Xenopus tropicalis: one gene and its partner. The protein of the gene in region 1 purifies or fractionates together with the protein of each later gene. This does not show direct contact. Links are inferred from orthologs where the notes say so. Each region holds a gene or a part of one and is shown in the gene's direction. Other genes may lie near its edges.

Evidence for each region.
Region 2: the proteins of capn2 (region 1) and spata5l1 purify together in Homo sapiens (co-immunoprecipitation; 3 studies listed by BioGRID and IntAct, with this or other methods). This does not show direct contact. The link is inferred for Xenopus tropicalis from reciprocal best matches to the Homo sapiens genes CAPN2 and AFG2B.

The regions. Positions count from the first base shown.
Region 1 is NC_030681.2:9,039,097-9,047,689, reverse strand, and holds part of capn2 (calpain-2 catalytic subunit), read left to right. Parts: intron 1-3,687; exon of another isoform or gene 3,688-3,701; intron 3,702-5,225; coding exon 5,226-5,344; intron 5,345-6,763; coding exon 6,764-6,897; intron 6,898-7,185; coding exon 7,186-7,354; intron 7,355-8,006; coding exon 8,007-8,090; intron 8,091-8,593. UniProt on the Homo sapiens protein: Calcium-regulated non-lysosomal thiol-protease which catalyzes limited proteolysis of substrates involved in cytoskeletal remodeling and signal transduction. Proteolytically cleaves MYOC at 'Arg-226'.
Region 2 is NC_030679.2:104,567,481-104,576,173, forward strand, and holds the start of spata5l1 (spermatogenesis-associated protein 5-like protein 1), read left to right. Parts: upstream 1-2,510; 5' UTR 2,511-2,521; intron 2,522-2,652; coding exon of another isoform or gene 2,653-2,677; coding exon 2,678-3,745; intron 3,746-6,139; coding exon 6,140-6,325; intron 6,326-6,539; coding exon 6,540-6,698; intron 6,699-8,065; coding exon 8,066-8,275; intron 8,276-8,693. UniProt on the Homo sapiens protein: ATP-dependent chaperone part of the 55LCC heterohexameric ATPase complex which is chromatin-associated and promotes replisome proteostasis to maintain replication fork progression and genome stability.

The DNA.
Region 1 (8,593 bases):
TCAGCAGTAGCCCAGAGCCCACTGAGCACGTGCAGTGCCACTGACACACAATAGAGGGCCTAACAAGGTCCAAGATGGGGAGCTGCTGGGGGCAGATTTAAAGGCCTTGATCATTACTGTTATGCGGCTGCTGAACCTCTGGGCTGGCACCATAAGGACAGGATATAAAATTCAGCAATGATTGTTTTTAGGCTTTAGTTGTCCTAGCTGGGAAAAACCAATACAGAGCTCTTCTCCAGATGCCACTGGGTGTGTCTGTATTTACAGGTAACTTGGCAGAAACGTTATTATCCTGTTTCTCAGCATTGATTCATGGCTTTGGTTCAAGTAATGAATCTCCTGGGTTCCCTTCACTTCCGCAGTAGGAAAGCAGAGCACTCACACAGCCTGGATTATAGCAGCCAGCACACCATCTGCTGCAGTTGTATGCTTGGGTCAGGATAAAATGCAAAATGTTGCAATTGTAGGACCCGCACCCAACCTGTACTTGCATCTTTCCCTTTATGGGCTACTTCTGCGCACACCTTAGGTTCCAAGACAGGGAAACTTTGGGAGCAGAAGAGTGTACTTCCCCAGTCTGACCCACCCCCAAGCCTGACCCACAATGGTCACCTAAATTCCAACCCTAACCCAAGTAAGGGTAAACTTTCAGGTCCCACTAGTTGCAGGTCAGCGCCTGGGTCACTACACTGCAGGGTATTTATACACATGAAGGAGATTGCGTATCTCACTGTGTGTCATAACCATTATTAAAGCACTCATAGCTCCCCAACTGGAGGGCTACCAAATGCACTAAGATATTTGTGGTCCCCAACCTGCTACAGGTACAGCTTTTTGTATGGTTTAATAATTTCTTTTCTTGCCCAAACATAGTGGTAGTGGCGGTAGTGGACCATTGTCCCTCTGCATGCAAATGGTTGTAGAAGATTGGTGAAGCTTACACCAACCTGATTTCTGATTCTGAAGGTGGCCATCCGCTCATTTGGCAAAGTCACCAAACAAGCGGATTGTCTCCTGATATGCCCACTTACAGTCAAATTAACACAGCGGGTATATGGGCCGACAGACCAAGGACCGACCATATCAGCTCCTTGACGCGGAAAATCAAACCTGCCTGAATCCTGATTGAGATTTGCCCAATTTTCCTCCAGATATTGATCAAGTAGGCCCATCGGGGCTTCCTATACACGGGCAGATAAGCTACCGAATCAGTCTGGAGGACCCAAATCATCAGCTGAAACCTGTCCCTGTATGGCCTCCTTTAGGTCAAGAACCCACGGAGCGGTTCAGTCGCCCCCAATAGATCTCTGTTATTGCTGGCAACTAACCACTCTGAAATGGTTTTCCACCGGCAACAATAGGAGGCGCCGGTGGAAAGCCCTTTGCGTTGTTTTGTTGAGATCTATCACGGGCGACTGAACTGCTCCATGGGTTCTTACCCTCAGGATATCCTTAGTATTGCTCCCATCATTACAGGGCACACACCCTAGCCTCCCTAGTATCTTCCTTTCCTTAGCATTGACCCCTGCAGTGCATGGCACAGCCCCCAGCCTGCTCTATATCTCCCCCCCATCACTGCTGCTGCAGTACAGTCTGCATTCTAACCCCCTCTGGGAGTCGCAGTGCTGCGCCATCATAGTGTATTAGTGCCATGTAATGTTTTCATTAACATTCCTTTGAGGTTTTGCCATTCCCGGTGCTTTGCCTTTAGTACTATCAGCTGCCTTTGGCAGGACACCAAGGAGAAACTGTGCTTGGAGAGTGCCTTGTTTCCCTTGTACCAATTAGTGTAATGACATAACGTTGGAGTGATCATTCCATATGCACAGAAACAAAACAAAGAATGCTGTGAATTTCTGTCCCAAAGCACAAACAAAAGATCCTTATTTTTGTGGTTGTGTTGTATGGAGTCAGCCCTAAATTCAATTATCACCCCCTAGACAAGCCCTATTGTAACACACAATATTTATTTGGTGCACAAAACAATCATAAATGTATTCAAAAGGCCAGAGGTACCTTAAGGTGGCCATACACGAGGTTGCCAAGCGAGCGGATCTTCTCTCGATATCCCCACCTACGGGTGGGCGATATCGGGTGAATTCAGGCTAATGGCCCTGGGGCCAAACGATCGAATTAGAACGCCAGTAATAGGAGCAGTCAGTTTGGGGACCCCATCAACGAGCTGATGCGGTCCCCGATCCGACTAAATTTTTTAACCTGCCCGATCGATATCTGCCCAATTTCAGGTCAGATGTTGGTCGGGTCGAGATTGCCAGATCGCCAAGCGAGCAGATCTTCACCCGATATCCGGATATCAACGAGACAATGGGGTCCCAATCTGACTAGATTTTCTAACCTGCCCGATTGAGATCTGGCCGATTTCAGACTAGATATAGGTCAGACAGGCCCGTCGGTAGTGCCCATACACGGGCACTAGCTGCTGATTTGGTCTAAGGGACCCATATCAGCAGCTAGAATCGGCCCGTGTATGGGGACCTTTAGGGACCAATATCAGCAGCTAGAATTGGCCCATGTATGGGGACCTTTAGGGACCGATATCAGCAGCTAGAATCGGCCTGTGTATAGGGACCTTTAGGGACCGATATCAGCAGCTAGAATCGGCCCGTGTATGGGGACCTTTAGGGACCGATAGCAGCAGCTAGAATCGGCCCGTGTATGGGGACCTTTAGGGACCGATATCAGCAGCTAGAATCGGCCCGTGTATGGGGACCTTTAGGGACCGATAGCAGCAGCTAGAATCGGCCCGTGTATGGGGACCTTTAGGGACCGATAGCAGCAGCTAGAATCGGCCCGTGTATGGGGACCTTTAGGGACCAATATCAACAGCTAAAATCAACCCGTGTATGGGGACCTTTAGGGACCAATATCAACAGCTAAAATCAACCCGTGTATGGGGACCTTTAGGGACCAATATCAACAGCTAAAATCAACCCGTGTATGGGGACCTTTAGGGACCGATATCAGCAGCTAGAGTTGGCCCGTGTATGGGGACCTTTAGGGACCGATAGCAGCTAGAGTTGGCCCGTGTATGGGGACCTTTAGGGACCGATAGCAGCTAGAGTTGGCCCGTGTATGGGGACCTTTAGGGACCGATATCAGCAGCTACAATCGGCCTGTGTATGGCTCCTCCCTCCAAATAAGTTTCACGTCATTGGACGCTTCATCTCCTAAAGACTTGGTCTAATGAATCACTGCTATAGATAATGCATCTAGATAATGAACCCCTCCTTATCTCAAAACCCGAGACACAGACTGTGACTGAGTATACATTCCAGGTGACTGGGGACAACAAGTGAAGGGATGCAGGAGATATGATTCAGAAATCCATTATCCAGAAAGCTCCAAAATACGACAGTGTCTTTACTTATTGTGTCCTATTTAACCCTTTCATTTCACCCCTAGTAGAATCTTCAGCACCATAAAGTGCCATTGTCTCCCCACAACCTCTCTCCGTTTGTGACCCATTTCCTTCTCTCTGTAACAATGCGAGTCGGGCCAGTACCTTGTACTCAAGGGTAAATAAGCCGCTTAAATCCATGTTAATGGCTGAACAATCCTGTAGCATTTTTTTGTTGTTAGTCGTCTATTGATCCTTTAAAAGGGAGCAATAAAGAGATATAATTGGTCTTTGTTGGAATGGCTCAGGGTAATAATGTCATTATTATTTGTTATGTGAAGAACTGGTAATTGTAGGCCCCCACCTGCCCCACAGGGCCACTCCCAGGCTCAGAGCAGCTTTATTTTTAGTATTGGGTTACAAATGGCCCCGGTCCCTTGGGTGCTCAGGTTTCCTCCCACACTGCAGGTGATGGGATCGAGCCCGGTGTAGGTGTGGGTGTAGGTGTGGGTGTGGGTTTGTGCACAAATACTTAATGGATATCAGACTGCAAACGCCTCTGGGCTTAAAGTTCCAGGCATCACTCACGCGAATATTGGGAGCCAAAGGGGATCTGGCGCCTTCAGCTGAGCAAAATGCATTATAGCCTTTTAAGACCTTCTGTAGATACTGAGGATCCCTACAGAGAAGGAGTTTAGGGGTTAATTCCTACACAGACCCCCCCCCCCCCCAAAAATCATGGTGGGATGGTATATGTGCCCTTTAATATAGAGTTTTCCCTTTCAATCAAACCAGAGTTACCATGGAATCATTTAACCATTAAATAAACCCAATAGGGCTGTTCTGCCCCAATAAGGGGTAATTATATCTTAGTTGGGATCAAGTACAGGTACTGTTTTATTATTACAGAGAAAAAGGAATCATTTAACCATGAAATAAACCCAATAGGGCTGTTCTGCCCCAATAAGGGGTAATTATATCTTAGTTGGGATCAAGTACAGGTACTGTTTTATTATTACAGAGAAAAGGGAATCATTTAACCATGAAATAAACCCAATAGGGCTGTTCTGCCCCAATAAGGGGTAATTATATCTTAGTTGGGATCAAGTACAGGTACTGTTTTATTATTACAGAGAAAAGGGAATCATTTAACCATTAAATAAACCCAATAGGGCTGTTCTGCCCCAATAAGGGGTAATTATATCTTAGTTGGGATCAAGTACAGGTACTGTTTTATTATTACAGAGAAAAGGGAATCATTTAACCATTAAATAAACCCAATAGGGCTGTTCTGCCCCAATAAGGGGTAATTATATCTTAGTTGGGATCAAGTACAGGTACTGTTTTATTATTACAGAGAAAAGGGAATCATTTAACCATTAAATAAACCCAATAGGGCTGTTCTGCCCCAATAAGGGGTAATTATATCTTAGTTGGGATCAAGTACAAGGAAATCAAATTTAAAAATGTGAATTATTTGATTAAAATTAAGTCTGTGGGAGACGGCCTTCCTGTAATTCAGAGCTTTTTGGATAATGGGTTAACGAATCCTATACCTGTTTGCTGATCCCTGTGTATACAGGTATAGGATTTGTTATCTGGAAATACCCTGCGGATGGCATGAAGTCGGTGCATTTATGCCATATTATTGCAGAGCAAAGCACATTTGCAGCTTCCCAGTAGGACAGAATATTTTTCAGATTTGTTTTATGGAAAACTGCCTGAGACTGTTTATTCCTGCCATAACCGTATACAGGAAAATCCCATGATGCCCCCCCCCCCCCCCCAGCCCATTGCTGAGTTCCAGCCGAGCAGACTGAGTACACACACAGCCCCACAGACACTGACTCCCTCTGTGTTTCCCCAGGTGACTGCTGGTTACTTGCGGCCATTGCCTCCCTCACCCTGAATGAGCAGATTCTGTCCCGGGTTGTTCCAAAGGATCAGAGCTTCCAAGAGAACTATGCCGGAATATTCCACTTCCAGGTAATTGTTCTGCCTCCAAAATTTCATATCTTTGGGGGGAATCCACCGGCTGGACCTATTCATTTGCAATGGAAATTCAGCAGGGAAATCAGTTCATTGTTGTTTTCATGCAAAGAGACGTGGCTGATTGGGTTCTGTGTGTGTGTTGTGATTGGAACAATTGGGTGCCGAAGATCTCCTTTTAGTAAAGGGAAGGGAGAGAGGGAATTCTACACAGCGCCTCCTGGTGGCTATTTAGTAAAGGCAAGGGAGAGAGGGTATTCTACACAGCGCCTCCTGGTGGCTATTTAGTAAAGAGAAGGGAGAGAGTGTATTCTACACAGCGCCTCCTGGTGGCTATTTAGTAAAGGGAAGGGAGAGAGGGTATTCTACACAGCGCCTCCTGGTGGCCATTTAGTAAAGGGAAGGGAGAGAGGGAATTCTACACAGCGCCTCCTGGTGGCCATTTAGTAAATGGAAGGGACAGAGGGTATTCTACACAGCGCCTCCTGGTGGCCATTTAGTAAAGGGAAGGGAGAGAGGGAATTCTACACAGCGCCTCCTGGTGGCCATTTAGTAAATGGAAGGGACAGAGGGTATTCTACACAGCGCCTCCTGGTGGCCATTTAGTAAAGGGAAGGGAGAGAGGGTATTCTACACAGCGCCTCCTGGTGGCCATTTAGTAAAGGGAAGGGAGAGAGGGAATTCTACACAGCGCCTCCTGGTGGTCATTTAGTAAAGGGAGAGAGGGAATTCTACACAGCGCCTCCTGGTGGCCATTTAGTAAAGGGAAGGGAGATAGGGTATTCTACACAGCGCCTCCTGGTGGCCATTTAGTAAAGGGAAGGGAGAGAGGGAATTCTACACAGCGCCTCCTGGTGGCCATTTAGTAAAGGGAAGGGAGATAGGGTATTCTACACAGCGCCTCCTGGTGGCCATTTAGTAAAGGGAAGGGAGAGAGGGAATTCTACACAGCGCCTCCTGGTGGTCATTTAGTAAAGGGAGAGAGGGAATTCTACACAGCGCCTCCTGGTGGCCATTTAGTAAAGGGAAGGGAGATAGGGTATTCTACACAGCGCCTCCTGGTGGCCATTTAGTAAAGGGAAGGGAGAGAGGGAATTCTACACAGCGCCTCCTGGTGGCCATTTAGTAAAGGGAAGGGAGATAGGGTATTCTACACAGCGCCTCCTGGTGGCCATTTAGTAAAGGGAAGGGAGAGAGGGAATTCTACACAGCGCCTCCTGGTGGCCATTTAGTAAAGGGAAGGGAGATAGGGTATTCTACACAGCGCCTCCTGGTGGTCATTTAGTAAAGGGAAGGGAGATAGGGTATTCTACACAGCGCCTCCTGGTGGTCATTTAGTAAAGGGAGAGAGGGAATTCTACACAGCGCCTCCTGGTGGCTGGACTGTAAATATTACTCCACCTCATTTATTTTCAGTTCTGGCAGTACGGTGAGTGGGTGGATGTTGTCATTGATGATCGTCTGCCAACCAAGGATGGGAAGCTGCTTTTTGTGCATTCAGCGGAGGGGAGTGAGTTCTGGAGCGCACTCATGGAGAAGGCTTATGCCAAGTAAGTACAATACAAAAGGACTTTTGCTGGAAGTCAATCCTGAAGGTTAGCTATGATTAAATTTAATGATATAGATATCCCTTTGGCTCTAACTGAATAGCCAACACAGCAGAGCTTTCGTACAGATCACTGTGATGGATTATGAACCACTGCACAACAACCAATTATCAATTAACATTGACTTTTCTAGAGCATTTACTGTAATGAAGGGAAATATTTGATTGGACATTGGGGGGGTGCAGTGGCCAACCAACTCAGTCCTTAATCCTGTATTTTGCTGTCACGTAGACTGAACGGATCCTATGAAGCTCTCTCGGGTGGGACCACCACCGAAGGGTTTGAAGATTTCACAGGTGGACTTGCAGAGTGGTATGAACTGAGGAAGGCCCCACCCAATCTGTTCAAGATTATCCAGAAAGCTCTGAGGACTGGATCTCTGCTGGGCTGCTCTATAGATGTGCGTGTCACTTCTTTTATTCTTTGTGTTCAGTAGATCCTGGAATAGATGGCTAAAGCCTTCAGTCTGGATTCCTTGCCCTAGCGTTCATGTCTTAATAATAATGCTCTGGGTGGAATCCATGGTTTGAACTTAATGTACCAAAAATGGCTGCCTAGGGATCTGTTAAGGCCTTTGTGTCCCTAGTACCACAGGCAGAGGTTGCCAGCTGGCTGGTAAATTGATGCTTGATACCAATGTTATTAATAGGGAAAAACATAAAAATATAGAAAGGCCACTATAAGAAAAAGTGGCAACCCTGATATAACAAGTTCCTATCCCCGTCTTCCCTGTGGTTTCCATCTTACTCTGTAATAACTGATGTCATCCACTCCTCATACTATAACTGCTGCTAGAGCCCATATTTGGCCCCCCCAAGATAGCTTTAATGCCCAGATTCCTGGTACCGCTAAACCCCCATGAACATCTCCCACATGTACCGTATTTACTTTGTCTTTATCCCCCAAATCATAGTATTTTTAAGTGATTACTTATTACTCACCCCCTTCCCAAACTGATATATATGCCTAGAGAATCCCAAATCACTGTGCGCATTCTCCAACAATCAAAAGCGAAATAATATCATTTGTTTGCATTTTTGTAATTCTTTCAGATCACAAGTGCAGCGGAGACAGAAGCCATCACATTCCAGAAGCTCGTGAAGGGCCATGCCTACTCTGTGACTGCAGCAGAAGAGGTTGGTGTCCACCGTTATTTCTGCTCCTCCTATGGAATATGAGTAAATGGAAGTAGTTGCTGGGTACATATGCTTTACCAACACATAACTACGTATTTTATGGAGGGTATGGTTACATAGTTACATAGGGTGGAAAAAAGACCAGAGTCCATCAAGTTCAACCCTTCCAAGTAAACCCAGCACCCACACCCTATACTAACCAATCTATACACTCACATACATAAACTATATATACACACATTAATACTAACTGTAGATATTAGTATCACAATAGCCTTGGATTTTCTGCTTGTTCAAAAACTTATGGTCACTTTATAGCGATGGAATTCTATTGCCGTTGGGCGTTGACCTAGAGTCACATGACCATTGTTGTTTGTGGCCCTAATATGGGTAACGTCAGCTAGCTATTGGGCTGGACTGACCCACTTCCCAATCCCCCATCTTCTACTGTTGTGCTGATCTCAACCGTCTATTTGTTCCTGTTGCTGAAATATTTTATTTAT
Region 2 (8,693 bases), on another chromosome or scaffold:
TGGTATAAATAAAGGGTTATTCTTTTCACTTTTACTTTTTGATGGCCTGTTTTATGGATCTTCATTATAACTATTCCTTTTTGCATCTTTACAGTCCCCTAAGCTGAGGGTCTGGGGTTGGAGCATCTAGACCACGTTATAATACTGGTGAGTTACCCACTATGAATTGTGTTTTAGTGGTTTTTGTTTTTCATTAATTTTGTCAGGATGTAACTGGGCATGGCCAGGGCTGAATGGAAGATGGTCTAATTTGTCTCTCATTTGATAATTCAGACTTGTGGAATATTTAACACTATAAAAGGGAGCACATTTATTAAAGGACAAGAAACCCCCTACTTACTTTGGGGAGTTGCAAAATGTTAAGCACCCCTCTAGTGAATAGAATCACAAGCTATGTTATCTTAGGTTATGTTATCGCCTATATGACCTGTGCCTTTTCTCCTTTTTTCCAGCTGGAATGGCTGTCCCCATGGCTACACAGCAGCTTAATCATATTTACTATAGTAGTGTTACTAGTGCAAGGCAACAGTACATTATATTTTAATTACTTTAAAACACTCATTTTGGTGTTACTGTTCCTTTCAATAAGGGAGTCAGATAAATTAGGTATTGGTATTGCAAATGTCACAATAAAGATAAATCATGATTATATCAGAAAAAAAATATTGTGACAAGATTTTAAATAAATGTGCTTTAAAGTGTCCAGATTTATTGACCCGAAGACAATGATGAACAATTATTTTATATTTTTTTCACTATAATTTGCATGGTGGCTGTCACCAAATTGCTCTTGACAAGTGACATTGTTGAACCTTCCTACAAACATCTTTCAAACCTTGGACCTTCCAACAGACATCTGTTTTTCCATAAGTTTTAATTACAACATTTGCCTTTGCTTTCACAATACTTTCTGTCCTAGGTAATCCATCTGGAACAAATTGATTGCTGCTCTGACTGAGAGTTGTCACACTGAATAGGTATGTATTATGCACACTACCATCTAAACACAGAAAAAGAAAGGATCTTTTTGTATCTAAAAATGGAGTGACATTCAGGAGAACGCCATATTTGCGTGTCCTGGAATGCACTCCCCTCGAGACATTTATGGTTCTCTGAATAGTTCCTGTTGCAGGAAGCTGGTTTCCAGGGAGTTCACATCACTTTCATAATAAGGCAAAAACAGCTTATCTGACGATAGATGTCACTGGAAATGCTCAGAATATCTCATCTGTTTCTTCTCAGCCTACCTGGCAGCCTGCACCTGGCAGTGTTCTCCGCAAATATTTTCAACTTTTGTTTAAATACTTGGGGATATATTTATCAAAGAGTAAAAGAGCGTGTTGCAGTCTGCCAGAGTGAAATTCCGCCACCTTCCATTTATTTCTTTGGGATTTTTCAGAGTATTTATCAATAAATAAAGGTGAAAGTTCACCTTTTGATAAACATGCATTTAAAAATACCATAGAAATGATTAGAGTGGAGGAATTTCACTCTAGAGGACTGTAGCAAGCTCTAATTTCACTCTTTGATAAATATACCCCTGGATTTATGCCAGGGATCCCCAACCTTTTATATCTGTGAGTCACATTCAAATGGAAAAAGTGCTGGGGAACAACACAAGCAGGGAAAAAGTTCCTGGGGTGCAAATAAGAGCTATAATTGGCTATTTGGTAGCCCCTATGTGGACTGGCAACCTGCAGAAGGCTCTGTTTGGGTTTTATGCAATCAACAGTTGCCTCCAAGCCAGAAATTAAAAAATAAGCACCTGCTTTGAGGCCACTGGGAGAAACATCCAAGGGGCTGGGGAGAAACATGTTGCTCACGAACCACTGATGGGGATCACTGATTTATGCTGTGGAAACAAGAATTGTTAAATTTTAATCCTTGAAAAACCAGAAGGGAAAATGCTGCTGGCTGGGGGACCAGGGGAGAAATAGGGGAGTTGACAGCTCTATACTTTAAAGTACAAAAACACTTTAAAGATGACTAGTGACAGGCAATTCTAACCTTTTTTGTTTTGCCAAAAATACACAAATCGTAATTAGTAGGCTTTCTTTGTAAAACTAATTTTTGCTGCCATTGGAGTCCATGGACTTTTTTATGGCAAAATACCTGGTGAAGAAAACTTCACCTGGGCCTTGGTTGCACTAAAAGAGAAAATATGTATTGTTTTCAGTTCCCTGCCACAGATGGAAGCTGAGCAGAAATTATAAGGCTTCTGAGAAATTTTGGGGAGCTGTGATAGCGGAGGGCACAACCAACACAAAAATTCTTTTTTCGCTCTTTCTTTTTTTTTCCTCTATGAGGTGCAACCAAGATTTTTTTTTGTAAGCAGACTCAACGCCGCATACTAGACACTTCTAATTGCGTAACGCCGTTACGTCGTCTCCGCTCTTCAGTCTTAACGCCAAATCTCGCGAGATGAGACTTGCGCAGTCGGGATTTTCTGACAGAAGCATGAGACTTGCTGTTAACTTTTCCGAAGGCAGGAGTAGCGCTCTGAGTTTGCGGTGTGTGTTAGGTAAAGCGCAATTCTTGGGCACTGTGCATATTCTTGTATTAGAGGGTGAAGTTTGAACTCCCCCCGAATATTAATGCATACAGTGTTTTGTCATGGAAACCATGTTTCAATAATTAATACGTTTTTTTTAGATGTTATCGTCAGGATTCTTCATTGATGGATACGGTTCTAAAATGTCTACCCTCCAACCCAGACGACCATTGCTCACAACGATGCAGACTTGGTCCCAAAGCGATGGCTTTGATTGGAGCAAAAGTCGGATTCCCGGTTCTTGTCTCCTTGCAGAGTGGAAGCTGCTTGTGCACTGCTTGGCCCAGGAGAGATCTGTGCGATGGCTTTGTGCAAGCTGATTATATGTGCTCGACTTCACATAAACCCATGGCTGTATTTAAGGACACCGGCATATGTTTAAATCAGATAAAATCCATGGCTTCTACCAAACTCAGAAAGGTCTCAGTGAAAGTTGTAGTGAGAAGCCTAGATGTGAAGCGGGCTACCTCAGAAGCAGCACTCCTTGAGACTGTCAGAGATCTACTAAGAAACGTTTTTGTGCTGAATGATTATGTGTTATCTGTAAATGCAGATTCCCCAGTTGTTCACATTGAAATACTTGATACAGATCCTGCAACAAGCAATGCCGGCCTTATTACAGGCAAAACAAGCATAGTCATTAAAGAAGTCATCACCCTTGAATGGTACAAACATAAGTTACAGGAGGCCCCTCAATTAAAGGTTGCGGCTATGGATGACACGTGTGCCTCACTAAAGGAAATAATTCATATGCCGTTACATTATCCAGAGACCATGCACAAACTTGGCCTCCCTTGCCCGAAAGGTGTTCTCTTGATTGGGCCCCCAGGGGTTGGAAAGACCCTTTTGGTAAAGGCTGTAGCTAGAGAAGTCGGGGCGTATGTAATTGGCCTGAGTGGTCCCGCAATTCACGGCTCAAGACCTGGAGAAAGCGAAGAGAATTTACGGAAGATTTTTGAAAAAGCAAGAGAAGCTGCATGTAGTGGCCCAGCTCTGCTCTTTATAGATGAAGTTGATGCCTTATGTCCTAAACGTGGCCATTCAAACAGTGCTCCCGAAAACCGCGTTGTTGCTCAGCTGTTAACTCTAATGGATGGTATTGACAGTGACAATAAGATGGTTACTGTAGCTGCAACAAGCAGGCCTGATGCCATTGATCCAGCATTAAGAAGACCAGGCAGATTTGACAGGGAGGTAAATATAAAAATAATTTTTCTTTTGTCTCCTTTAACAGCCCCACAAAATAAGCTGTTGGCATCTGACAGATAATGTGAGAGATCTCATGAGTAGGATAAGACCTGGGACTTCACCACATTTCAAAAAGACATCATTATATGTATTTAGCATGTAACCTCAGTAGCCTAAGCTATTCTCTTTGTAATATATATATATATATACTTGGGTTACCTCTGCTATTGTCTGTTTTACTTACGAGAGAGAGGGAGAGAGAGAAAATAAAAAAGACCAGCAACTCTGGGATTTCTTGTGAAAAAATCAAAACATATATTTAAAGTAGCATAAACAGCCGACGTAACGTTTCGGTCCCCAGCATAACCTAGCGTCTCTAGCATGTATGCCCTTGGTGTTTTTGTGACCCAGTGAATTGTATGAGCCAGGGGGAAGGTCCTTAGCATTAACAAATGTCAATTTCTACTTAGGTTTATTCAGTGGCAAATACTGCTAGAAAAGGATGTTTTTATTAAAATTAAGCAGTGTTTTACATATGGGCTATTATATGCACTATAATTTTACAGAGACCTACATTGTTCAGGGGTATAGTTTTTTTTGTTTATTTATTGCATTTGAGCATCCATTTGAAAAAAATGCTAATCTGCAACCAATCATTTTTTGGCTTACATATATGTTTTTGCCTGTTAGAAAAGTCACACTACTTAAGTTGCTTTATTAATGTTAGAATTATCACTTAAAGGAGAAGGAAAGGCTAATAAAGAGTTAATCTCAAGCTGCAGGCATACCTTCAGTTGTCTCAATAGTGCCCTTAAGTCTCCCCATACTTCATCTGTTCAGAAGATCAGAAGCCAAACAGGAAAATAAAACGCTGAGCAGGGTAGAGAAGATTCCCATAATGCATCGCTCCTTTCCTAGACTTTCTACTGTAGGCGGCGCATGCGCACACAGCAGGAGCGTCTGGTCGCCATGGCGGTGGTGAACGCTGTGGAGGGGAGCGGGGGCAGGGACAGGTGTGGGGAGCGAAGGACGGTTTGTGGCAGGAGCTTGGAGCGAAGCGGAAGGTTGGTGGGTGAGTGCTGTATGTAACAGTGCTGTATGGCACATGCTGTATTCCATCTGTATCTTTTCCTCCTAGTGCCGAGCGGCGGCGGCAGGGGCGGGGGGGGGTTGCTGCTGGCAGTGTTGATCTGTTTCTCCTCCTGACAATGCCGAGCGGGGTGGGGGGGGTCGGGGGGTGCTGCCAGCAGTGTCGATCTGTTTCTCCTCGTGACAGTGCCGAGCGGTGGCAGCAGCGGGGGAAGGGGGGGGGGTGCTGCCGGCAGTGGAAGCTCTGTGTGTTGATCTGTGACATGCTGGGGGGGGGGGGATGTGGCAGGACACTCTGTGACATGCTGGACAAGATGGCGGCGCCGTTCACTGAAACAAGTGTGTAGGTTCTAGTAAATGTATCTCTGTAAATCTTTCATTAGGCAAGCCAGAAATATAGCATTTTTACACAGCAATAGTAGTACTATTTAATAGTGTGCTTAATAGATTTTGACTTTCCTTGTCCTTTAAGCATACCACAATTAATGCCTATTTCTATCACTAAAAGTTGTCTATTGGATAGTATGTGATATCAATTATGAATGTAAAGTAAATAGTGTTAAAGACACAAAAGCCTTTATTCCTATTATCTTAAAATAAACATCGCTAAAAAAAGATAGAAAAGATAAGAAGGAAAGTTAAAAAATCGAATTCACACCCTGAATCTCAATCAAATGTAACTGACTCACTCGTGGATACTATTACTTAAATTGTTTCTTTAGTATCACCAATGACTTGTGTTGGCAACATATGTAACATGTGCATAACTAACGCACCCACAGTAAGAGTTGTTACATATGTTGCCAACACAAGTCATTGGTGATACTAAAGAAACAATTTAAGTAATAGTATCCACGAGTGAGTCAGTTACATTTGATTGAGATTCAGGGTGTGAATTCGATTTTTTAACTTTCCTTCTTATCTTTTCTATCTTTTTTTAGCTATGTTTATTTTAAGATAATAGGAATGGTTATATTTTATTGAATCTAACAGGTGTGCCAGTTTCTTTTTGTGTCTTTAACACTATTTACTTTACTCCAAATATACATACTGAGCACCCTGTATTTAAACTGTAGTGCAAGGTTTTTCTATTGGGATATCAATTATGAATGTAACTGCTCAAACATGAATTAAATTGGGGAGGAGTAATACATAATGTATTATTAGTGAATTATTTCACACAGTAAAATGCTGAGAGCTGAACAGCATGAGCAAATGTTATTGCCAAATTAATCATCTGACCTCTTTCTATTATATAATGCAAAAGTCTTTGATGGTATCATGAACATCTGTTTTTCTGATATTTTTAAGGTAATCATTGGAACTCCTACTCATAAGCAACGGCAAGCTATTCTGGAAATGATGATATCAAACATGCCCACTGATAGAGATGTAGATGCGGCAGCCTTGGCAGATGTGACAGTGGGATATGTTGGTGCCGATCTCACTGCCCTGTGCAGAGATGCAGCTATGCAGGCTGTACTTCAGGCCAGTTTGGTAAGATGTTGTAGTAGATTTATTGTAATTAGAAGTAAAATCATTTACTACCTGAGCAGAATCCAGAGCCTTATATTCAGATCAAATGTCCTATATTATAGGTAATGTAAGCCAACACTCATTTAAAGCATTGTGCTTCTTGTTTTCTGTTATTGAAATATAACTCTAACCCTTGGTAGCATTAGAATCCTAACATTGTTTCCTTGCCTTTCAGGACAGTCTGTGTAATTTAGTGAGCAGAGCACATTTTTATGAAGCATTTAAAAGGATTCGACCCTCTTCCGCACGAAGCTCAATTGGTCGGGTGGAGTTTAAGCCAGTTCATTGGGAGCATATTGGAGGTCTTGAAGATATCAAGCACAAGCTAAGACAGGTTATTATGGGAGCAAGGAGATCATTCCATTGTAGCTACTGTGGACTATGATACCTAGAATTGAGCAAATACTTTGGGAATAATGTTTGAAATAATACTAGGGAAAAAAAAAAGGAAAATACCCCTTATATTTAATGTTTATTGTATCCCATTCTTAATCGCAGGCAACCCACAGGTAAGCACATCTTACATTACGAGCTATAATTCATAATTTTTATTTCTATGGGTTGAATGGCTCATTAAATTGTGAGCTGTTGTAGAAAACTTTATAAAATTGTCTGACAAAGTTCTATGTGTGCAACGGCTAGGGGGGAGCAAGTTTGACAGTCTTTACAAAAGTATTGATGACTGGATAAATAAACCAATTTAGAAGCATTATATTAAATGGATCCGAAAACAATTTGTAGCAGGCGACTAGTCTCCCTGGCTGCCACAGCCCTTAAAGGGGGTCTCCTGTTACTTTTGGAAAACTGTGGAAGTATCTTAGTTAGGGTTAGTCATTTCAGTTGGTTGCCAATAAATTAGTGTTTTCTGTGCTCAAACATCTTGAGCAATAACAAAGGTGTTCATGTTTTGCTGGGCATTGACAATGTAGTAGGAAGGAACTAAAGTATTTAAAAGTGGTCAAATTGCATCAGCGGTTTATTCTTCATGTTCATAGATAGTTATATTGGCAGATTTGTCTTAGCATTTTGTTACAACGGCTTTTATTGTAGAAACACAGAACAACCACTGTGACATTAGCTGAGAAGTTAAAGCAACAGTAACACCAAAATGAATACGTATCTAGGTAATTCAAATATATATATATATACTGTTGCACTACTTCACTGGTAAAAGTTGTGTATTCTGTTCAGAAACACTATTATCATTTTATATAAACAAAGCTGCTGTGTAGTCATAGGATCTGTCATTCCCATTGAAATGGGGCTACATGGCATAGGTTAGATATCAGATAACAAATAAAAAAAACAGTTATCTGTTATATAACCTTATATATCCTTTTTCCAGCTCAAATGGCTGCCAATGTGGCTAAACAGCATCTTATTTATATAAACTATAGTAGTGTTTCTGAAGCAAAAATACAACTGTTACCAGGGCAGTGTAGCAGTACATTGTATTTTTATTACTTTAAAACCTTTCATTTTGGTGAGAGATGTGTGAACCTATTTATATGGAAGCAGCCCATGAGCTGAGGGTGTACACAGGATTAAACATGATAGTTCCACTGTAAATGTTTCTACTTTGTTATACCATATTCTGTTCTGAAAAACACAAGGACCTGGCTAGCAAAAGCACTCTTATTTTGTACAAGCAAACCTGGATAATTATGTTTTATAAAGGTAACAGTATGCTTGTACTTTCAGAGCATTGAGTGGCCCATGAAGTATCCAGAAGCTTTCAGTAGGATGGGACTCACACCACCAAAAGGAGTTCTACTGTACGGGCCTCCTGGATGTGCCAAAACCACATTAGTAAAAGCTGTGGCAACAAGTTGTCATTGCTCCTTCTTCTCTATCAGCGCAGCAGATCTTTTCTCTCCATATGTAGGAGACTCTGAAAAGACTTTGGCACAGGTGATAATACATTAAAAGATATTTTGCCTCTTGCTCACATTTCCTATTTTGTAGAAGCATGAAAATTCTCAATTTCTTATAACTCGTGCTATTTTATTTAAAGGGGCAGTTCACGTTTAAGTTAACTGTTAGTATGTTCTAGAATGGCCTATTCTTAGAAACTTGCCAGTTGGTCTTCATTTTTTACTTTCTAATTACTTAACCTTTTTTATTTATTTTATTTTTGACTAGTTTTTTAATTATTTTCTGCCTTCTTCTGATCTTTTAAGTAGGGGGTCACTGACCACGGCATGCAAAAAACTAGTCCTTGCGATTTTATCGTTGTTATCTCCTATTCATATTCTAGTTTCTCATTCAAACCACTGTCTATGTGCTTAACTAATTTGGCAACAATATATACTTTGTTTTTTGAAGATTC